Stegostoma tigrinum: one gene and its partner. The protein of the gene in region 1 interacts with the protein of each later gene in a biochemical or structural test. Links are inferred from orthologs where the notes say so. Each region holds a gene or a part of one and is shown on either strand. Other genes may lie near its edges.

Region 1 (11,410 bases):
ATAGTAAATTGCCTCAGAGTTGTAGAAAAAGTTCAAAGTGGAAACACACCCTACAGTCCAACTTGTCTATGCCGACTAGATATCCTAAATTAATCTAGTCCCATTTGCCAGCATTTGGCCCATAATCCTCTTCCTATTCATGTACTCTTTTAAATGTCAATTGTACCGGCCTTCGCCACTTCCTCTGGCAACTCATTTCACACGTGCCCCACCTCCTGCATGTAAAGGTTGCCCCTTAGGTCCCTTTTGAATCTTTCCACTCTCACATTAAACCGAAGCCCTCCAGTTTTGGATTCCCCTACCTTGGGGAAAAGACCTTGACTATTCACCCTATCACTGCGCCTCATGATTTTATAAACCTCTATCAGGTCACCCCTTAGCCTCTGGCACTCTGGGGAAAATAGCCCCAGCCTATTTAGCCTTTCCTCATAGCTTAAACCATCTAACTCTGGCAACATGCTTGTAAATCTTCTCTGAACCCTTTCAATTTTCGCAACATCCTGCTATGGCAGAGAGGTCAGAACTGAATGCAGTATTCCAAAAGTGGCCTAACCAATGTCCTGAACAGCCGCAAAATGACCCAACTCCTATACTCAATGCATTGATCAATAAAGGCAAGCATACCAATCACCTTCTTCGCTACCTTGTCTACTTGCAACTCCAATTTCAAAGAACCGTGAAGCTGCACTCCAAAGTCTCTTTGTTCAGTAACATTCCCCAGGACCTTGCCATTAAGTGTATAAGTCCTGCCATGATTTGCCCTATTAAAATGTAGCACCTCACATTCATCTAGATTAAACTGTCTACCACTCCTCAGCCCATCTGATCAGGATCCTGTTGTACTCTGAAGTAATCATCTTCGCTGTTCACTACACCACCAATTTTGCAGATGATACCAAACTTACTAACCATCCCTCCTTTGTTCACATCCAAATCATTTACATCAATGATTAAAAAGCAGTGGACTCAGAACTGATCTTTGCAGCACACTGCTGGTCACATGCCTTCAGTCTGAAAAGCAACACTCCACCACTACTGAAAGAACCGTGGATGCTGTAAATCAGGAACAAAACAAAGTTGCTGCAAAAACTCAGCAGGTCTGGCAGCATCTGTGAAGGAAAAAACATAGTTAATATTTCACGTCCAGGAGGAATGGTTACCAGACCCGAAATGTTAACTCAGTTTTTTTTCCTTCGCAGATGCTGCCAGACCTGCTGAGCTTTTCCAGCAACTTTGTTTTTGTTCATCCATCACTACTCTGTCTCCCAGCTTTCTGCCAATTTTCTATCCAATTCTGTAGCCTTCTTGAACTGCTGTAGTCCTTGGGTGTACTTACCATCCATTTCTTTTTTCCATGACACCTTTTGCCATTTAATTTTTCTTGTCCTCCTCAAGACCTTTCACTTGCTCAAAATTTATTATTTTTTCTATCTTTCCTCAAGTTTTGTTGAAAGAACATGAGCCTGATCGTTAAATGTTTTTCTCTCCATGGATGCTGTCTAACCTGCTGAATAGTTTAACCATTTTCTGTTTGTATTTAGAAGTTGAGTCTTTTGTTTGTATCTTTAAGATAGCTTTAAGCATATGTTCAACATTCACCTGTTTTGCAGATGTTTGCAGCATGAATACATGAAAGCCTACAGGACAGAGTTCATATAATAAAATGAAAATCTCAGGGCATACAACCAGATATTCAAATTTTGCGTTGGAATGCCCATTATTCTGAAATCAATGAATAATATTGGTTTTCAAAGCCAGGAGATGGGGTTTAGGAGAACATAAAGCTCAAATGCATGCACAGTACCCAAAAGACAAAGTAAAGTTTTACTTCTCCCATGCCACTGCAAATAGATTTGAATTACTTTGCATTCAATTTTTGAGAGTGCTCTGCATCTGTCCTTAATCATGGTAAAAACTGACTTACATATTGGGATCTCAAAATTAGATCCCCTTTGATTGTACATTCAAGCTTAATTCAGAGCTTGAGCTGGTGATGTGATTCCAGTGCAGTAGTATACAGGAGTAGGAAGAGCAGGAATTCCATTGTGCAGAGAGAAAAATAATTGAACAGGAGAGAGGTAAGATGTAGTGCAAAGGGTTATTTCTAACACTAACTATTGAACATATACAGAGGAAGCTACTTATTGATAATGTTATGATCACATAAGCTTCTGAAGAAGGAGCAACAACCCAGGTTGCGTGCTTTGCTAGAATGTATGTATTTAACATAATGTAAATAAAGAACTACTTTGAAAAAGTTGGTCTCTAGCTATATCCTTTGCACTGAGTAGTGCACTGTAAAACCTTCCAAGACACCGCCCAAAAACAAAACATGCTAAAGGAAAGTGTTGTTTGCAGACAAATTAGATAGATTCTATCACCTGTCCAGGTGATTTAAGTGGATACGAAAGCACATAAATGAAAGAATAAGTAAGTTCTTCAGGTGTCCTGTACAAAATCCTCCTGTGAGTGATGTGACCAAAAACAAGATAACTGGTTATTCATCTCATTTGCTCTGTGTGGGACTTTGCTAAGTCAATACTTTGAAATCGGATTCATACATTTAAACTGATTTGGGCATTTCCGAAAGATATGACAAATGGCTACAGACGTCCTAATTCTCCTGGGAAAGGGGGATGGGAAACCTCAAAAGTAAGCCAGGAGATCAACAGACCAGAGGACAAGGAAAGGAACAGAAGAGTAAAAAGCCCAGACAGGGGTGAATGGGAGACCAAGATCACAAAGGTGAAGCTGGAAACTAGAAGTTTGAAAGCAGGGCTCACTAAAGCCAAGATCAGAAAGAAATGGGAAATAGGGGGACCATGCCAAAAAAGGCAAGTGTATTCTCAAAATAAGCTAGTGAAATCCACTACAATACCTCGTATGTAGGGTAATTTATTTTTAACACCTGAATGATGACCTATGTTTCTCACGGTACATATTTGCCTTTCATTTTGGAAATTTGCAGTGCAGCACTGGTGTTTATGTTTAGTGCAGTAATGGTAATGCCACTGGGCTGGTAATCATCACTCAGGTTAATCCTCTGAGGTTCAAAACCGACCATGGCAGCTGATGAAATTTTAATTCAGTGAATAAATCTGGATTATAAAGCCAGTTTGAGTATTGGTAACCATGACAATTTGTTATAAAAACCCATCTCGTTCACAATTGTCCATTTGGGAATTAAATCTGCTACCTTTAACTGGAATGGCCTACATTTGACTCCAGACATACAGACAAGTAATTGACTCTTAACTGCCCTCTGAAACGGCCGAGCAAGCCACAGTTCAACAGTAATTAGAGATGGGCAGCAATTGCTGGCCTTGCCAGAAACACCCACAATAGAAGAAAAAAAAACAGGAGGGTTACCTCAAAATTGATAATAAAGACTTGCAATTCTATAGCACATTCATGACCTCAGGATGAATTAAAATGCTTTATGGCCACTAAGTACTTTTTGAAGTTTAGTCACTATTGTAATGTAGAGAAAGCAACAGTTAATTTGCACACAGCAAGCTCCCACAAATAGCAATGTAATAACGATCTGATATCTAAACTTATGTACTTGCATCCTGGAATGAGACTGAAATTCATAACCTTCTGTCTTGGGAGATAAGGGTACTATCAACTGACCTACAGCTGATACAAGATTTTTCTTTATTACGAAACTAGCTGACAGGAGATATTTAGGTTGTTTACCAAAACCTCCTCTTCCCATTCCATGTGCCTACCATTGTTTAAATGTCTCTATGCTTAAAGATACTGATGACATTGGTTATGCTGTTAATTTAAGAGGTTTGTTTGAGTGAAGTAAATGCAGAGGAGTAGTACCTTTCATTTCTACATACAGAGCAAATGGATATCCGCACTTTGAGGTGGAGATAGTGAAGGGAAGATGGGCATTAATAAAGGGTAGTGGGAGTGAATAAAGAGCAGGGGAGAGAGATAATGAAGGGGATAACGGTGGTAGTACTTGGATGGCAATGAATAAGTGATAAATGTGGAGAGAGGTAGGATGGTAACAACTAAGAAGGGGAGGGGTTGGGTTGAGCAATAAATAAGAAGGAAATGTTGAATGTGGGGAAGAAATAGGCTTTTTGAGAGTCCTGTGTATGAATAGATGTAGCTTTTAGCAAAACAAAATAAAACCCTGCAGATATTGTGCCTTTTTCAACAAACCAAAAAGGTTGGGGGGAGGGAACAACATTTCTCTAGGGGAATTCTCCATGTAAACACCTCAGTCAGCGTCTACTTGCCAAACAATCAGTATCCTTTTTCCATGCATAGAGTCATTGAGTCATACAGCACAGAAATGGACCCCTCAGTCCAACCAGTCCATGCGAAATGTAATCCCAAACTAAACTGGCCCCACCTGCCTGGTCCTGGTCCATATCCCTCCAAACATTTCCTATTCATGTACTTATCCAAATGTCTATTAAATGTTGTTATTATACCAACAACCACCATTTCCTCAGGAAATTCATTCAACACGTGAACTACCCTCTTTGTAAAATAAAAAATTGCCCCTCATGGCTTTTTAAAATCTCTCTCCTCCCATCTTAAAAACGTGCCCTCTAGTTTTGAAATACCCCATCCCAGGTAAAAGAAAATTGCAATTAACTCTAATCTATACCCCCCCCCCCCCATGTAGTATAAATTGTTGCTCCGTTTGAAATTTGATATTCTTGTAATTGTCATGATGACTGCAGGACAAAACATTTCAACAGCGTAACAAAGTGTGGAGCTGGATAAACACAGCAAGCCAAGCAGCATCTGCAGTTCCCATTATCTCTAATTTCAACAGCATGTTTCCTTTTGCAGTAATAAAGTTGTTACCCTGGTCCCAAAGGACGTAGGGCTGCTCGCTCATTAAACAGAGACGACCAGCGGTAGTTTAACCTGAGGGTCACCTCGCCTCAGGCAAGGGGTGAGCTCAAGAAGATGGGACCTTCATAGTGACCTCATGCAGTACTTGAATTCAATTCACATGTTGGTATCGCAATCCAGCCAGCCAAGTAAGCTACTCGACTCCCCACAGAGCAAAGTCGCCATAGTCCCAAAGACCACAGTACTGCTTTCTCAAGAGAGAGATGATCGGTGATGGCTTACCCTGTGAGTCACCTTGCAAGGGGAAGAGGTTGAGAAGGACAGACCTTCATGGTAACCTCAGCTAGTATGACAACTGAACCCATCCTGCTGGTGTTACAATCATACTCAGATTCTGTTCCGCCAAGTGACTATATAAATCTGAGTTGTTGTAACCAGAATTTTCAACTGTAAAATGTGAACTTAAAATTTTCCATGAGGGTATGAACCCTAGGAGTTCCCTCCTTAAAGGACTCATAACCAGATCTGTGTTTTTAATGTTTGTGTTCCTCCTTTGAGGCTTGCTGGTACTTGTTTCATTTTCCAAGTCATTAAAAGGTAAAGCTATGAAACAAAATCGTTGAAAGCACTGAGGAGGTTACACAGCATCAGAGTACAGATAAGTGCAGTTAAGCTTCAGGTCAATGATCACTTATCATAATGAGAACAAGATAAGAGGTTTAACAGTTTAGAAGCGAGTACAAAGCCGGATAAAAAGGAGGGTTACGCAAGGAGAGAGACAAGAAGCTGAGTTGTGGAACTGAGCTGAAAACATGGCAGCAAAACATAATGGGGAGCGTTAATAGATTATTAAGAAGCAAAATATGGGTCTAGAGGACGTGCTTAACAATGCTGGGTAGAGACATCAACTTTGTATGGCGAAGTATCTGTAATAGAACGGATATTCTTGAATTGTGGGCTTTTATGGAAATTCTATCATTGTTTTTCAAGCTGTTGGTCATCTTTTCCCAAAATTTCCATCCCATCCAATGTTTTCATCACTGCTATTTTTTACTTTTCGTAGAGGGTGTTCTGTTCACTATTTTTCAAGCTTCGAGGTTGGCCTTTTCTCTCCCAAATTTTGTGTCAGTGCTAATTCCATGTCTTGTGGGCTTGAGATTTTCTGGAAGATATTTTCTCCTAGTTTTCTCTGCTGGCCTTCATGGGAAAGCAACAAAATCGTAAATACCTTGGAAGTGGACCACGCTGTCTCCATGTTATTGTGTTCATTGGTCTTTGAAGGGGCGGATCTGCAGCTGAAAATAAAGCTGGTGTTTGGTTTGTAACTGCCCAGTTCGGAGGCGGTTTATGATGACTGTTGCTATGGTTACCGGGCTTGTTTTGAAGGTGATATTTCCCGGTTGGTAACATTTAACGTTCCCTTTCGTCTCAAACGGTTGCTGTTTATCTTCAACAATGTTGAAAAGATAAATCGGAGGTTTTAAACCTTCAAAATGTCGGTGCGACGACTCCTGGCCCGCGGCCTGGACCTCAGCCGCTCGGCCTTGCGCCTCGTCAATCCCGCAGCTCGAGCTCGGGCTCAGGCGGGCGCGGCCTTTGTGCAACCCTGGGCCCAGCAGCCGCTCCAAGCCGTCCTACCCGCCCGCTACCGCTATTTCCGCCTGTCTTTGGGCGGCCTAGCGGCTCAGCTACAGCGCCGGGCGTCTTGGCAGCTCCGCGGGCCGGGCGGTGCTTTGCTGGCCTTCGGCCTGGGCCTGGGCTTCATCGAACAGCAGGTGGAGGAGGTGAGGACGAGCATCGCTGCCTGCGAGGAGATCCAGGTAAATAAACGTCGGTCCGGGCATCGTTTGAACAAATAGATTAATGCTCCTTGCGATATGCTGCTTTTCCGTCTTGCTGTTGTCTAACAGCCGCCTGACTTTTCGCCGGATAATAAAATGTGGAGGCAGAGACAGGCTGGACTGATGAAGGGTCTAGGCCCGAAACGTCAGCTTTTGTGCTCCTGAGATGCTGCTTGGCCTGCCGTGTTCATCCAGCCTCACATTTTATTATCTTGGAATTCTCCAGCATCTGCAGTTCCCGTTATCTCTGACTTTTCGCCGGCTTCGCTGTAGGTGATAGTGGTGTTGGAAGCTAATTTTCTCAACGTCAATTTTAGGCGAAAGCCCCAAGTTGAATGCTCTCCTTTCTTACCTAAACTTTTATTATGATCTCTGACATGCACCTGATGTAGTTTACCTGATTAAGCTCTCTGTCAGTTTGGACGTCACCAAATTTTGACGGTCAACTTCCATTTAAACTTTGATATGATGGTCTAGGCTCTTTTGGTCCATTTTATTAAATAGATGCTGTGCAATCATATCCCAATAACTACCCAGCAAATTTTTTTAAAATGTCAGAAGAACAAGGAGCAGGGATAGGCAATTCAATCCCTTGACCCTGCTCCACCGTTTGATAGGAACACGGCTGATCTCTTCTTGGTCTCAACTCTACTCTCCTCTGTCCTCTCCATAACCATTTAGCCAATTTACTGTCTATCTCCTGCTTAAATTTACTCAATGTCCCAGCATCCAGCGCATACTGAAATAGTGAATTCCACAGATTCACAACCCTTTGAAAGAAGTAATTTTCCCCTCCTCTCTCTTTAAATCTGCTACCTCTTATCCTCAACCTCTCATCCTAGCCGTGCATAAGACATAAAATTGCCTACAGACTTTGTATGAGCTTTAGCAATAAAAAATGTGTGATTTAGAAATGGACAACACAATATCCTACAGAGAATTTGAGTACTGAAGAACACGAGAAGAAATAGAAAGATTGACACTTTCAAAGTTTGAACCAGGAAGTGTAAGTTTTAATATTGAATTCACTGAGCAATTATGTTCAGAAAGCAAAAGAAAGATGAGATTAAGGAGTGGAGATATGGCAAATAAAAATGTTTAAAAATTTTTTAAAAATCAGTAAAATGTTTCCTAAATTTAATTTTCAAATATGATCTGTCACTATTTAACACTGCCAATTGTAAACATGAACCAATAGGTTAACAGAGGACACACCTTTTGGAGAATTAGAAAACTGAGACAAAATAAGACTTAGTTGAGCAACAAAATGCCCAAATAGCAAAATTTCTGCTACATCAGTGAGCGTTGTTTTGACTTGCTTGATATAATTCGTTTTCTACCACAAGGAAGCTCGTACTAATAACATCTTGGGATATGGGGATAGTATTGGAAAATGGTTTTTGGGTGGATGATCAGTCATAATCTAGAATGGGAGCACAGATTTGAGGGACTCTATGTTCCTAAACATTCAACATTATTATGAAACGTAGGAGTTTACCACAATGTCAGTCTTTCTTTCTTCATAGTCTGACAATGAAGCCGTAGCTTCATAATTTCCTAAGCAAGCCCTGGAGAATTGCACTGTTCGCTAGTGGTGAAGAATTTGGTGGAGTCATATTAATGGCGGATCTCTTCTTGGCAGAGCTTTGTTTTTGTTTTAAAATCAATTCTACTCAAAACTGAATGGAGGTTTGGTTCATTCTTTATAACTACATTTGAAAAAGTTCCAATTTGCATAAATGTGCACTTATTTGCATATATTTGGTTAGTTAATGAGAATAATTGTTGAATTATTTCCATTTGCCAGACATTGTTTAAAAGGAAGAAAATCAAGTATGAAAACTCCATGCCTTCACACACGAGTGGATATCGATTTGAAGATTACAAGATTGGATACAACATTGGAAAGGGGTGTAATGCAGCTGTGTACAAGGCCTTTATCCCTGAAGTACCCAAAACAAAAGCAAGTGACAAGATCACGACAAAGGAGAAAGATGAAGTAGTTAACAGGCAGGTGAAGAGTGAAGGTCAGTGTGTCTCTGGTGAGGATTCTGGAGAAAGAAAGAAGGTAGCGATTACACAGGAAAACTCAAGTTTGAGTTTTGTGATTTTGAAAAAAGAAATGTTAACAGACTCGCTGAGGGCTTGTGAAGGAGACACCAGCAACCCCTTGAGAGTTTCTTGTGGAGGCAGCAGTTACCTCCTGAGGGCCTTCGAGGAAGACACCAACTACCCCCTGAAGGTACCTGAAGGAGAAACCAGCTATCCACTTGCTCTAAAAATGCTTTGGAACATAAATGTAAGTCAAACATTGAAATGCACAATTTGTTGTTTGAGCCAAGTGGAAGATAACCATATGCTGGTGATGTGGCACGAGACTTGCAATTGGAATTTCTTTTGCTTCCAATAATTTGTCTGCAGTGCTTTCAATTTAAAATACTTCTGTCTTTTATTGTAAAAAGGTGCATTCTTTAAATTTACATTTTTTTCCTGTAAAACACAATTGCTTGTCAATGTAATTAATAGCCTTAATAATAAGTGTGTAACATCAGGACGAAATCAAAGCAAAACTAAGAATCGAAATATTTGCCATGGATGAGTGAAGTCCCTACATAGGCCCGAAATAATTGCACATAAGAAAACAAGTGACCATCAGAACTAACCATATCTGATGTGCAGCCTGTGGAGGATTTAAAGTTTGGCAGTGCTATAGTGGTAACACTTCCTAAAATCATTATGGAGTGGATCATTGAGGGGTAAGTGACTGTAGATGGTTGTGAAGATGTATTTAATTGTATTTCTCTCATGTTTAAGCCTCTCCATGCCTTAAAGCATGAAAACCTTTGCAATTTCTTTTGCATCAAAGTGATGCTCAACAGGAGAGGAGTACTGGAGATAAGTTTAGAAATTAGCTTCTTGAATTCATTTGAGTTTTGATCCAGAGGCTCTCTAGCCTAGAAAGCTAGTATTGGCTGTCTTCTGAGCTACCACCATTAAACTGTCAGGTCTAGATTTGAGACATTTCTGTACTACTTGTTGATGTGATTCAGTCACATCAATCAGTTAACATGCTACACGGTTGACCAACACCTTCCACCCCAACCTCAAGTTCACCTGGGCCATCTCCAACACATCCCTCACCTTCCTGGACCTCTCAGTCTCCATCTCCGGCAACCAGCTAGTAACTGATGTCTATTTCAAGCCCACCGACTCCCACAGCTACCTAGAATACACCTCCTCCCACCCACCCTCCTGCAAAAATTCCATCCCCTATTCCCAATTCCTCCGCCTCCGCCGCATCTGCTCCCAGGATGAGGTATTCCACTCCCGCACATCCCAGATGTCCACATTGTTCAAGGACCGCAACTTTCCTCCCCGCAGTGGTCGAGAATGCCCTTGACCGCATATCCCGCATTTCCCGCAACACATCCCTCGCACCCCGCCCCCGCCACAACCGCCCAAAGAGGATCCCCCTTGTTCTCACACACCACCCCACCAACCTCCAGATACAACGCATCATCCTCCGACACTTCCGCCATCCACAATCCGACCTCACTACCCAAGACATTTTTCCATCCCCACCCTTCTCTGCCTTCCAGAGAGACCACTCTCTCCGTGACTCCCTTGTTCGCTCCACACTGCCCTCCAACCCCACCACACCTGGCACCTTCCCCTGCAACCGCAGGAAGTGCTACGCTTGCCCCCACACCTCCTCCCTCACCCCCATCCCAGGCCCCAAGATGACTTTCCGTATTAAGCAGAGGTTCACCTGCACATCTGCAAATGTGGTATACTGTATCCATTGTACCCAGTGTGGCATCCTCTACATTGGGGAAACCAAACGGAGGCTTGGGGACTGCTTGCAGAACACCTCCGCTCGGTTCGCAGTAAACAACTGCACCTCCCAGTCGCGAACCATTTTAACTCTTCTCTCCCCCCCCCCCACCACCACCTCTCATTCTTCAGACGACATGTCCATCATAGGCCTCCTGCAGTGCCACAAGGATGCCACCCGAAGGTTGCAGGAACAGCAACTCATATTCCGCTTGGGAACCCTGCAGCCCAATGGTATCAATGTGGACTTCACCAGCTTCAAAATCCCCCCTTCCCCCAAAACCAGCCCAGTTCGTCCCCTCCCCCCACTGCATCCCAAAACCAGCCCAGCCTGTCTCTGCCTCTCTAACCTGTTCTTCCTCTCACCCATCCCTGCCTCCCGCCTCAAGCCGCACCTCCATTTCCTACCTACTAACTTCATCCCACCTCCTTGACCTGTCCGTCTTCCCTGGACTGACCTATCTCCTCCCTACCTCCCCACCTATACTCTCCTCTCCACCTATCTTCTTTTCTCTCCATCTTCGGTCCGCCTCCCCCTCTCTCCCTATTTATTCCAGAACCCTCACCCCATCCCCCTCTGATGAAGGGTCTAGGCCCAAAACGTCAGCTCTTGTGCTCCTGAGATGCTGCTTGGCGTGCTGTGTTCATCCAGCTCCACACTTTGCTAACACGGTTGTTGATGTGCTTTTGTCAGGAAAAATGATATGAACCGACCTGAGAGAATTGGAGTGAATTGACGAAAACTTTACGGCTAATGTTTTGAGGATCCCTTAGACTGAGATCATTGTCTTCTCCCGTTTTAAGCCTGGGATTTCTGCAATAAAGTGAAACGTTAAAATACTTAAAATGGAAAAGATTTGAAAGCTGGCACTAGTGTTTTGCACATTAACTTTTGCTGAATTCATTGC
Region 2 (10,915 bases), on another chromosome or scaffold:
GCTGTTGGTCTGTCCCGCTACAAATTTATATGGTCCAGTCTTTCATGGTGGGTAGTCCTGTTTCTGGTTTTGGAGTGTAGTGGTACGTAGATGGGGTCTATTTCAACATGTTTGCTTATCGCACCAGCGGCTGAAAGCCAGACCTCCAGAAATTCTCGTGCTCGTCTTTGGTTTTCTTGTCCCAGTTAAACTGATATCCTTCTATAAAATTTGAGAGGATTTATAGCTCGGGTTGTAGACTTGCTCATTGAGCTGAGGGGTTTGGTTGCAGACTTTTTTGTTACCCTGCTGGGTAATATCGTCAGTGCACCTCCAGTGAAGCTATGGTGTTCTGTCCTGCTTATCATTTATATAATCTGTATTCACTGGGGTGGTTGGTATTACTTCCGGTTTTGTTTCTCAGTGGTTTGTACGCAGGGTCTAATTTAATGTGTTTGTTATGGAGTTCCGGTTAGAATACCAGGTCTCCAGGAATTCACTGGCGTAACTCTATTTGACTTATCCCAGTCAAATTCATGTCCCTCATTGTCTGTGTAGTGAGGCAAGTGAGAACTGGTCATGTCTCTTGGTGGCTATGTATCTGTATTGTCAATTTTCTTCCGATTTAGCCTCTGTAGTGTTTCTCACAATGCTTGATTGGTATTTTGTATATTACCCTAGTTTTGCTCATTTTGGGTATGGGATCCTTTACAATCGTCAGTAGTACACAAATATATACACACACACACACACACACACACACACACACACGTTACCAAGCAGCAGCTGAGTGAAAAACGACATAGGACAGACCAGGAAATGTGAACACCAACTCATGCGAAACAGCACGACCAACTCTCCCTCATTTCAATACACTCTGCACAGAAGGACATCAGTTGAACAGGGACAAAGTTACAGTGCAAGGACAAGCAAGACTATGACAAGCACAAGAATTTTTGGAGACCTGGTTTTCAACCACCAGTGCAATAAACAAACATGTTGAAACACACCCTATTTACATACCACTAGGGTACAAAAAAAAACAGGGCTACCCACCATGACAGACCAGACCATATAAATTCAGAGCAGAAGAGAACAACAGCATTTCAACGAAGGCTAGACAACAGTGAAGATGTCACCTGGAAGGAGGTGAAACCAAGTCAGCTCAGCGAACCACCGAATAACTCCAGCCACAACCCGAGCTACAGATCTTCACTAAAACATTAAACTTTATTCCCTTGTCTAAACTTTGCGTTATTTCTTCAAACAAATGGTAATTAAATAGAATCTTCTTTTTAAAGCTGGAAAGAAAAAGCACTGATTTTTTTTCAATAAATAGCCTGTTCTTGTGCTGCAAATGCTGCAACTATTTATTTATAATGAATTCACATCTAAGTCACTGAAGCTCTTAAATTACAATTTTGAGTGATCCAACATAAATAGATAAATGAAATTAGCAAGGTGTTGTCAGGTCCTGCAACAAATTCTCATAGCATTACTTGCTACCTTGACACCCACCGGCAGGGAAAAAAAACTTAACACCATAGTAACAATAGAAATTCACATCCCACTTGAGCAACAGTCTAAACATTCTCATAGGCTGCACATACTTATAATTTTCGATAGGAATTACAAGGTATCAGTTATGATTTCCACTAAACCTCAATGTTCTAAAATTATCAAAGTCAATAATTTGTTAGTTGAGCATCATAAAAGCTTCTCAATTGGTAAAATAATCCATTTGGCCACATGAAAATCAAGACATATTCCATATCAAACCATATTAACAGCAGACTTAATATATTTAATCATAGAAACAGCAATGTGATTCTGCTTCACTTGCCTGTATCCCATAGATGGTAAAAGACAGTTAGCAATCTTACTGCGCAGGTCAGCAAGAGTGGGCTCATCCTGCTCCAATTCCACCCAACCTCTCTGTCTTTGAACTCGCACACGCAGCTTCATTGCAGCTGATTCAACATGAAGCTGTCAACTGCTGTTGGAATTTCTGCAGGTGCAAGGGGCACTAGACATAAGAGGGAGATTAAAATTACAGTATCGTTCTTAAAAAAAACTGCATCATATTTAACTGAAACGTAGGTTTTTTGACAATATGAGATAGCTTTGATAACATACACATCCAAACACCAATGTCATCATGAAAAAGTACTAAATGGAAGGACTCTAAGCGTGAAAGGAGGAAAAGAACAAAGAACAGACAGTTAGTTTCCTTTCTTTTACCTTTCAGCCAAAAGGGGAGTTCTAAACAGGCTGGAACATGCCATAATAGAGAATATATAATTCTTAATATGTTAATTAAGATCAGAGTCATTAGAAAGTGCGAACAATTTATGCCTTAAGCATTCAGTCACACTTCGTAGAAAAATTATAGTCTGTAACAAATTAAAAGAAACCATGTTATTTTACTTCTTTCATTCTAACATCTCGTGAAAAGTTTGAATTGTATCCTAAAGACACCCTAGTTCTTTTCTGAAGTAAAGTATGCACCTAGGTCCCACAATCAACAACAAGGAAAGTGACCAGCTGATCAGATTGTTTAACTAGCTAGATCAACAAGAGAACTCCCTGCCTCCTTTGAAAGTGCTTTTGGCTCTTCATTTCCCTATATGAACAGATATATAGGCAGTCATTGTAACAGCTTAAAGACATTCTTTTATTAGGATACTGTTTCATTGCTTTCATCAGCAGTTACCGTTGCTAATCTTACTTCAAAAAGGAGCTAAATATTAACAATTTTTACAAGTGATCCAAACTACAAAAAGTCAGTACATTTGCTTTGAGGAATTAACAGCCTCAAAATTTGCCAAAGGTGATCCAGGAGATATTCCATGTTCTTCTTCCTGTAGAAGCTTTGAATTTTAAAACATTTTTCCTAACTGTGCTTTAAAATGTTCACTATCACTTGAGAAAACACAGGAAGATGCATTTTTAAAAGCTTACAAGTCATAAAGAACATCGTCCAAAGGCTTGAATCACACTTAACAAATATAGATGATTATAGTTTAAGGCAAATTAATTGCTCGGGACCTCACTGCTGGAGTTTCTAAGTACAATTACTCAAACCAAGCATCTTCATCTGATGCAAAATTATCAACTCCTTAAGATCAGGAATAGGACCATTTATGAATGATTCTACCAATGTTCAAATCATTTACATTTACTCAAACAAATCAATCAGTTCTGGTCTCACAGAATGAGGACAAACATCTAGACTGGAGTTGACACATGTCAGACACTGCCCATCACCTTCAACCACTTCTTATCTTCAGTAGTACTACTATTCCTGAACTGCCATTGAACATCACTTGGGATTATCACGAAACAGACAGTTAACAGAACCAACCATTGTAACAACATGGCTACATTTGAATGGTAATGGCATACTATGTTCTGACAAATATCACACCAAATTACTCCTCAAAGCCTCTTCACTTCATATGAGGTTCAAATTAACTGCCCAATTTCACGCTGACAACATGCTAGGATAGGCTTAACAACCATCCAGGAAATCTAACAGGCCATCTGCTTGCCAATCAACAGTCCTCTCCCTTGGCACTTAGTGGCAACAGTATATACTATTGCCTGTTGGACACTGCAGAAACTCACCAAGCTTACTTCAACATCATCTTCCCAGCCCAAAGACTTCTTCGACCAAAGAAAATAGCAGCAAGATCATTAAACTTATCACCACCATCAAATTTACCACCAAAATCTGTGTCAACTTGGACATAAGTAATAAAATTAGCAAAATCCTGCAATTTCATGCTTTTAGATTTTTGGTCTTCGATTTAGCACACACCTTTTTTTGGTCAAATGTATTCTGTTCTGAAGACAACATAAAAGAAAGTAATACATGCATGCAAGACTTTCATTCCTTCAAGTTTCCTTGAAGATTACAAAATCCTCTGCCCTTTATCGTGGTGTCTCAGTCATGGTTTAGTTGTTCGCATGCTTATAATCAGGGAATTTCTGGTCCCAAAAATCCAAGGAAGAGCTGCATTGTCAAAGGTTCCGTAACTTGGCAGATCTTAAATCAAGCCCTGAATACCCTCAAAGCTGAATGTGAAAGAGCCCAATGTTCTATTTTGAAGAGTAATTAAATTATCCACAATTGACTGACCAATATCTATCCCTCGAGCAACATCACAAAATAAGAGATAACAAGGTGTAGAGCTGGATGAACACAGCAGGTCAAGCAGCATCAGAGCAGCAGGAAAGCTAACATTTCATGATCAGCTTTCCTGCTCCTCTGATGCTACTTGGCTGGCTGTGTTTATCCAGCTCTACACCTTGTCATCCCAGATTCTCCAGCATCAGCAGTTCCAACTATTTCAATCACAAAATAAGATATAGCTATTATCACATGTTGTCAATAGCAGGGCCTTGCCATTTGAAAATTGCCTGCCATGCTTCCTACACCAAAAAGTGTCATGCAAAAAGTACTTAATTTGCTGTTACTGATCATCCCATAAACTGTTATACAACCATAATCTCTATTTTTGAATGTACTATGATAACCAATTTTCTCACAAGCACCATTGAGAAATTGTTACAGCATTGTACATCACTGCTTCAGCCAATCAACCTTGTTCTCTCAGTATAAACTTATGATTTCTGAAAGTTGGCATTCTTGCATCTTTCCTGATGAGTACAAGAAGCTTCTGCTCTTATCTTGCTTCAGCAAAAAAAACAAACATACGTTCTTCCAAAGTCAAAACTTCCAAGTGCAATTGAAATTCAGATTACGATTAAGTGCAAACATTGATAAAAAAAGAAGACACTAAAATATTAAAGTAAGTGCGCTGAGGTGGAAAGCATACATGTTGTCTATTTTAGCGCAAGTTACACGGTCAAATAGCTTACCAATGTCGATGACACTGCACAACAAAAACCTAGCTACATGCTGATTTCTTGGAACGGATTATGAACAATTTCACTTTCGTTTCTTAAGTTCCATACAGCTCACGCACAAAACCCCCTTACGTTCACAAACTGCATTCCCCGCACAACCTGACAGCCCTGAACCGCGGGGGCAGAAAGGAAGCAACATTAACAGACTGGATGCGACAGGCTGTTCCTGTGGCCTAGTTCTGCACCTGACCGAGCTCCAGACGATACTTACAGATTACAGGGAGGGTAAGGCAGCGGTCTGGTCTACTCCGCTCCACCCAGGCCTACGCTCAGGCTCCGACTCCGCTGGGATGGATGTACCAGCCGCAGTCTGCTGCCGGTCACTATGGTGATTATTACAGCCCACCCCGCAAACTGACAGCAGCGTTAGCCCCACCCCATCCCACTGCCTGCGGGCCGGGGGAGGGACTATAAGCACCATGGACTGCGCCTGCTCCCGATAGTCACCAATCCAGCGCATGCTCACAACCCTCACTGTGAGGATGGAGCTGTAGTCAATGTACAGACGGGAAAGTTTTGGAGGTTTGCTGCTCTAATGTCGATCACTTCTCACCACTCACATTTTTAAAGCATATTGTGCATGATTTGTGCCTTGCATACATTTAACGATTCAGGCTCCGCTTTTCTGAAGAAGGGTCACTAGACTCGAAACATTAACTCTCTTTTCTCTCCGCAGATGCTGCTGGACCCGCTGAGTTTCTCCAGCAAATTTTGTCTTTCTTTCAGCCTACGCTGCTGTTTGCGGAAGAGATTTACAAAGACGAATGACCTTCTGACAGAAAACAGTCTTCTGACTCAACCTACTAACTTATCCAATTGCAAACTCTGTAAGCTCCTCACAATTTTTTCTCCTGCCTACATTCATGATATCATAAGCAAATTTGGCAATGGTACAGTTAGTCCCTTACCCAAGTCACAGGTTTAGGTCATAAATAATTGAAGCCCTAACACTGATCCCTAGACATTTCACTTGTTTGCTAAATTGAAAATTATCAATGAATCCCAACAAAAAGAAAATGAAAACGGTGGAAACTGGAAATCAGAAACAAATCAGAAATATCCTTTGAGAGTCTGTGCACAGCAATTGGAATGCCAACACATTTCACGGCATTGATTTCTGGTTCCAGAAGTTCCTGTCGCACATGGACTTCAGAAGTCAGCACAGAAGAAAAAAAGTGTGAGCATGCTGCCCCAAACACCATAAGCCCTTGGCTAAAACTCTAACCATTTAAATTGCACCTAAGTAAATGTCTTTTTCAAAATCCAAGTCAACTACATTTATTGATTTCTTTTATCCAGCCTGCATACTCTTCTTTAAGAACTCTAATAAATTTATCAAACCATTTCCCTTTTGTAAAGCTACGTTAACACTGCCTGATTGTATTATGATTTTCTAAATATTCTGCACCTTATTAACAATGGATTCTAGCATTTTTTCAATGATAGATGTTTAGCTGAATTAGTTTAAAGTTTTGTACTTCTGCTCTCCCTCCTTTCTTGAACACAAGTGTTACATTCTCTATTCCATAGGACCTTCCAGAATCTAGGGAACTTTAAAAGATTATAACATGCCTTGTTAGCCTTTAGTTCCATTAGTTTTCCCAGTGTGATAAGATCGCAAGGCTTAGGAATCAAGGTAAGTCAGTCAGCCCACTGGGTCTGCTCTGCCATTCAAATCATCACCTTCCTGCTTTTTTCTGATAACTCCTGATTCTCTAGTCTTGAATATATTTAATAATTTAGCCTTTACAGCCCAATTCAGCGAATAATTCCACAGATTCACTACGCTTTAAGAGGAGAAATTCCTCCTCATCTCTGTCTTAAATGGATGACCCTTTATTCTGAAATAATGCCCTGTGGTCCTAGACTCTCCCACAAGTGGAAGCAACGTTTCTGCATCTATCCTGTCAATTCCCCAAGCATGATGAATGTTTCAATAAGTCACCTATCTTTCTTCAAAACTCCAAGTGTAAGGTGTGTGATATATATTTATTTAAATAAAGTTGAATTTATAGTATGTGGGTTCTGATTTATATGCCTCAGGATTTTAAGGATTAATACAAAAGCAAAATACCACAGATGCTGGAAACCTGAAATAAAAACAGAATATATTGGAGAAAGGTCTGGCACTATCTGTGGAGAGAGAAACAGAGTTAGTGTTTCAAATCTGATATGATTCTTCTTCAGAACTTTTTCATGATTAACTCTGTAGTAACTGTTGTTTCTTTTAAAGCATAACCTGAGAAAGATAATTCTTGGAGAGTAGTTGAAATTATTCGTTATTGGGAGAGTTTTTACAAGTGAACAAAGTAAAACAGTTGTGTATTGGGCTTTCAGTTTAAAAAGTCAGAAATTGATATTTTTCCTTTTGAATGAGGAAGCACCCATAGTCTGTTAAAAAAAAAACCTTTGAATTTCAGTTGGGTAGCTTTTACAAAGCATTGGCTGAAGCTGAATGTGTGAAACCATTACTTGGAAAAAAGATACTTCAGTTCCGTCATGAAATAAATTACCTCTGTGTAAAGAGGAGAGTTTTAAAGTCCAAGACAAGAAGTTTTTGTTTAAAACATGAAGGGGTATTCGAAGCTGAGAAAGTTTACATTCAGTTATATGAAATCTCAGGGAAGAGGCTATCAGATGCTCAAGACCAGGAATAGAAGCATCTGTTAAATCAAATCTATGTGTGATTGTGTTTTAGAGGAAGAAATTCTCTCCCTGGTGAGATAGTACGAACTGCCAATGTAGGAGTCTGAGATAACAAGGAATGGAGCTGGAGAAACACAGCAGGCCAGGCAGCATCAGAGGAGCAGGAAAGCTGATGTTTTGGACATCCCAGCTATCCTTGTTTTTCAATGACCACAATTCCTCCCACCCCCCCAAGGGGTGGTCGAAAATGCCCTCCACTGCACCTCTCACATTGCCCAGACCTCAGCCCTCACATCCCCTCCCTGCAACAAAAACAAAGACAGAATTCCCCTTGTCCTCATGCATCACCCCATTAACCATCAAGATTCAATACATCATTCTCTGCCACTTCCGTCACCTGCAATCTGACCCCACTACAAAGAATATATTTCCCTCCCCACCCTTATCTGCCTTCTGGAGGGACCGCTCTCCTCACGACTCCCGCATCCACTCCACATTCCCCACTAGCCCCACCAACCTGGCACCTTTCCCTGCAACCGCAGGAAGTGCTACTCCTGCCCCTGAACCTCACCCTCATCCTATGCCCCAAAACAACCTTCCACATTAAACAGATGTTCACCTGCACATCCACTAATGCGGTCTATTTTATCCGCTGTTCCCGAGGTGGCCTTCTCTACATTGGGGAGACCAAGCGGAGTCTCAGAGACCGCGCTGTGGAGCACCTATGCTCGGTTTGCAACAAATGACAACACCTCCCCGTTGCGAACCACTTCAACTTCCCCTCCCACTCCATGGCAATATGTCCATCCTGAGCCTCCTCCAGTGTCACAACAATGCCACCCAGAAACTGAAGGAACAGCACCTCATATTCTGCCTTGGAAGCCTACAACCCAATGGTCTCAATGCGGACTTTACTAGCGTCAAAATCTCCCCACCCCCGACCTCATCCCAAAACCAGCCTGCCCCCATCCCCGCCTCCCCGATCTGTCCGTCTTCTTTCCCAGTTATCTGCTTCTTCCTCCTCACTGACCAACCCTCATCCCCACTTCCTACCTACACTCACCTTTACTAGCTTCATCCTCGCCTCCTTGACCTCTCCGTCTTCTCTCCCACCTGTCCACTCCACTATCCAGCTTCTATCACCGCACCCCCCAGTCTATTTATTTCAGAGCCCTTTCCTCTCCCCCATTTCTGAAGAAGGTCCAGACCCAAAACGTCAGCTTTCCTGCTTCTCTGATGCTGCCTGGCCTGCTGTGTTCCGCCACCTCCACATCTCTCTCTGGTGTGTGTCCTGTAAAGAGTGTTGTAGGGATTACTGGGATTATATTTAACCATGTGTTTCAATATCTTTAAACTTGTGTTATGTGTAAATGCTTTTATTTATCTATTTACCTTCATTTATTTTACATAATAAACTTCTGTTTTATTGCAAAAAACAAATCTGCAGCATTGGGTGTTTACATTTCTGTGAAAGACCACCTTGTTTAATTCAAAAATAAAATATGTCCTAGCAAGCCAAATTTCAGTCTGGAATCTAATTTGTTCAGTAATCACATCAGCTGGGGTCATAAGATAATAAAATGTGAGGCTGGATGAACACAGCAGGCCAAGCAGCATCTCAGGAGCACAAAAGCTGACGTTTCGGGCCTAGACCCTTCATCAGAGAGGGGGTTGGGGAGAGGGAACTGGAATAAATAGGGAGAGAGGGGGAGGCGGACCAAAGATGGAGAGTAAAGAAGATAGGTGGAGAGAGTATAGGTGGGGAGGTAGGGAGGGGATAGGTCAGTCCAGGGAAGACGGACAAGTCAAGGAGGTGGGATGAGGTTAGTAGGTAGCTGGGGGTGCGGCTTGGGGTGGGAGGAAGGGATGGGTGAGAGGAAGAACCGGTTAGGGAGGCAGAGACAGGTTGGACTGGTTTTGGGATGCAGTGGGTGGGGGGGAAGAGCTGGGCTGGTTGTGTGGTGCAGTGGGGGGAGGGGAGATTTTGAAACTGGTGAAGTCCACATTGATACCATACGGCTGCAGGGTTCCCAGGCGGAATATGAGTTGCTGTTCCTGCAACCTTCAGGTGGCATCATTGTGGCAGTGCAGGAGGCCCATGATGGACATGTCATCTAGAGAATGGGAGGGGGAGTGGAAATGGTTTGCGACTGGGAGGTGCAGTTGTTTGTTGCGAACTGAGCGGAGGTGTTCTGCAAAGCGGTCCCCAAGCCTCCGCTTGGTTTCCCCAATGTAGAGGAAGCCGCACCGGGTACAGTGGATGCAGTATACCACATTGGCAGATGTGCAGGTGAACCTCTGCTTAATGTGGAATGTCATCTTGGGGCCTGGGATAGGGGTGAGGGAGGAGGTGTGGGGGCAAGTGTAGCATTTCCTGCGGTTGCAGGGGAAGGTGCCGGGTGTGGTGGGGTTGGAGGGCAGTGTGGAGCGAACAAGGGAGTCACGGAGAGAGTGGTCTCTCCGGAAAGCAGACAGGGGTGGGGATGGAAAAATGTCTCGGGTGGTGGGGTCGGATTGTAAATGGCGGAAGTGTCGGAGGATCTGAGTCAGTGTCAGAGACAACAGTGGAAGGTACTGTGGAGTGGGTGAATGATGGAAGTTAACAATTCTTGAGCAATTGCCACATAGGACAGCATGCCAGTGCTTCCACAGGATTTAATCTCAACATATCTCAGTCGCTTGACCTCCTATAATCCAGAGACCAAAGTGTTATTGATGTTATTAATTTGAATTCAAAATTAACATTTATTTATTGTCTATTTATTCCTTCATTGAGGAAGTGACAAAGTTGATAGATGAGGGAAGAGCTGAAGATGTCATATATATATGGACTTCAGTAAAGCGTTTGATAAGGTTCCCCATGGTCGGTTTATAGAGAAAGTGAAGTCGCTTGGGGTCAAGATAGATGGATAGAGAACTGGCTGGGCAACAGGAGACAGAGAGTTGTAGTGGAAGGGAGTTTCTCAAAATGGAAACTGTGACCAGTGGTGTTCCACAGGGATCCGTATTGGGACCACTGTCATTTGTGCTATAGATAAATGATCTGCTACGCCACCAATCTTGCTAATCAGACCATCTATTCCTTTCTCCAGATCATTTATCTATAGCACAAATGACAGTGGTCCCAATACGGATCCCTGTGGAACACCACTGGTCACAGTTTCCATTTTGAGAAACTCCCTTCCACTACAACTCTCTGTCTCCTGTTGCCCAGCCAGTTCTCTATCCATCTATCTTGACCCCAAGCGACTTCACTTTCTCTATAAACCGACCATGGGGAACCTTATCAAACGCTTTACTGAAGTCCATATATATATGACATCTTCAGCTCTTCCCTCATCTATCAACTTTGTCACTT

What was found. The genes of interacting proteins can lie anywhere in the genome.
Region 2: the proteins of pink1 (region 1) and fbxo7 form a complex in vitro, tested with the Homo sapiens proteins (2 studies listed by BioGRID, with this or other methods). The link is inferred for Stegostoma tigrinum from reciprocal best matches to the Homo sapiens genes PINK1 and FBXO7.

What each region holds. Positions count from the first base shown.
Region 1 is NC_081381.1:30,928,945-30,940,354, forward strand, and holds the start of pink1 (serine/threonine-protein kinase PINK1, mitochondrial), read left to right. Parts: upstream 1-5,983; 5' UTR 5,984-6,320; coding exon 6,321-6,647; exon of another isoform or gene 6,648-6,874; intron 6,875-8,224; exon of another isoform or gene 8,225-8,351; coding exon of another isoform or gene 8,352-8,357; intron 8,358-8,475; coding exon 8,476-8,967; intron 8,968-11,410. UniProt on the Homo sapiens protein: Serine/threonine-protein kinase which acts as a sensor of mitochondrial damage and protects against mitochondrial dysfunction during cellular stress.
Region 2 is NC_081371.1:25,457,800-25,468,714, forward strand, and holds the start of fbxo7 (F-box only protein 7), read right to left. Parts: upstream 5,314-10,915; 5' UTR 5,123-5,313; intron 4,972-5,122; exon of another isoform or gene 4,864-4,971; intron 2,006-4,863; 5' UTR 1,945-2,005; coding exon 1,823-1,944; intron 1-1,822. UniProt on the Homo sapiens protein: Substrate recognition component of a SCF (SKP1-CUL1-F-box protein) E3 ubiquitin-protein ligase complex which mediates the ubiquitination and subsequent proteasomal degradation of target proteins and plays a role in several biological processes such as cell cycle, cell proliferation, or maintenance of chromosome stability.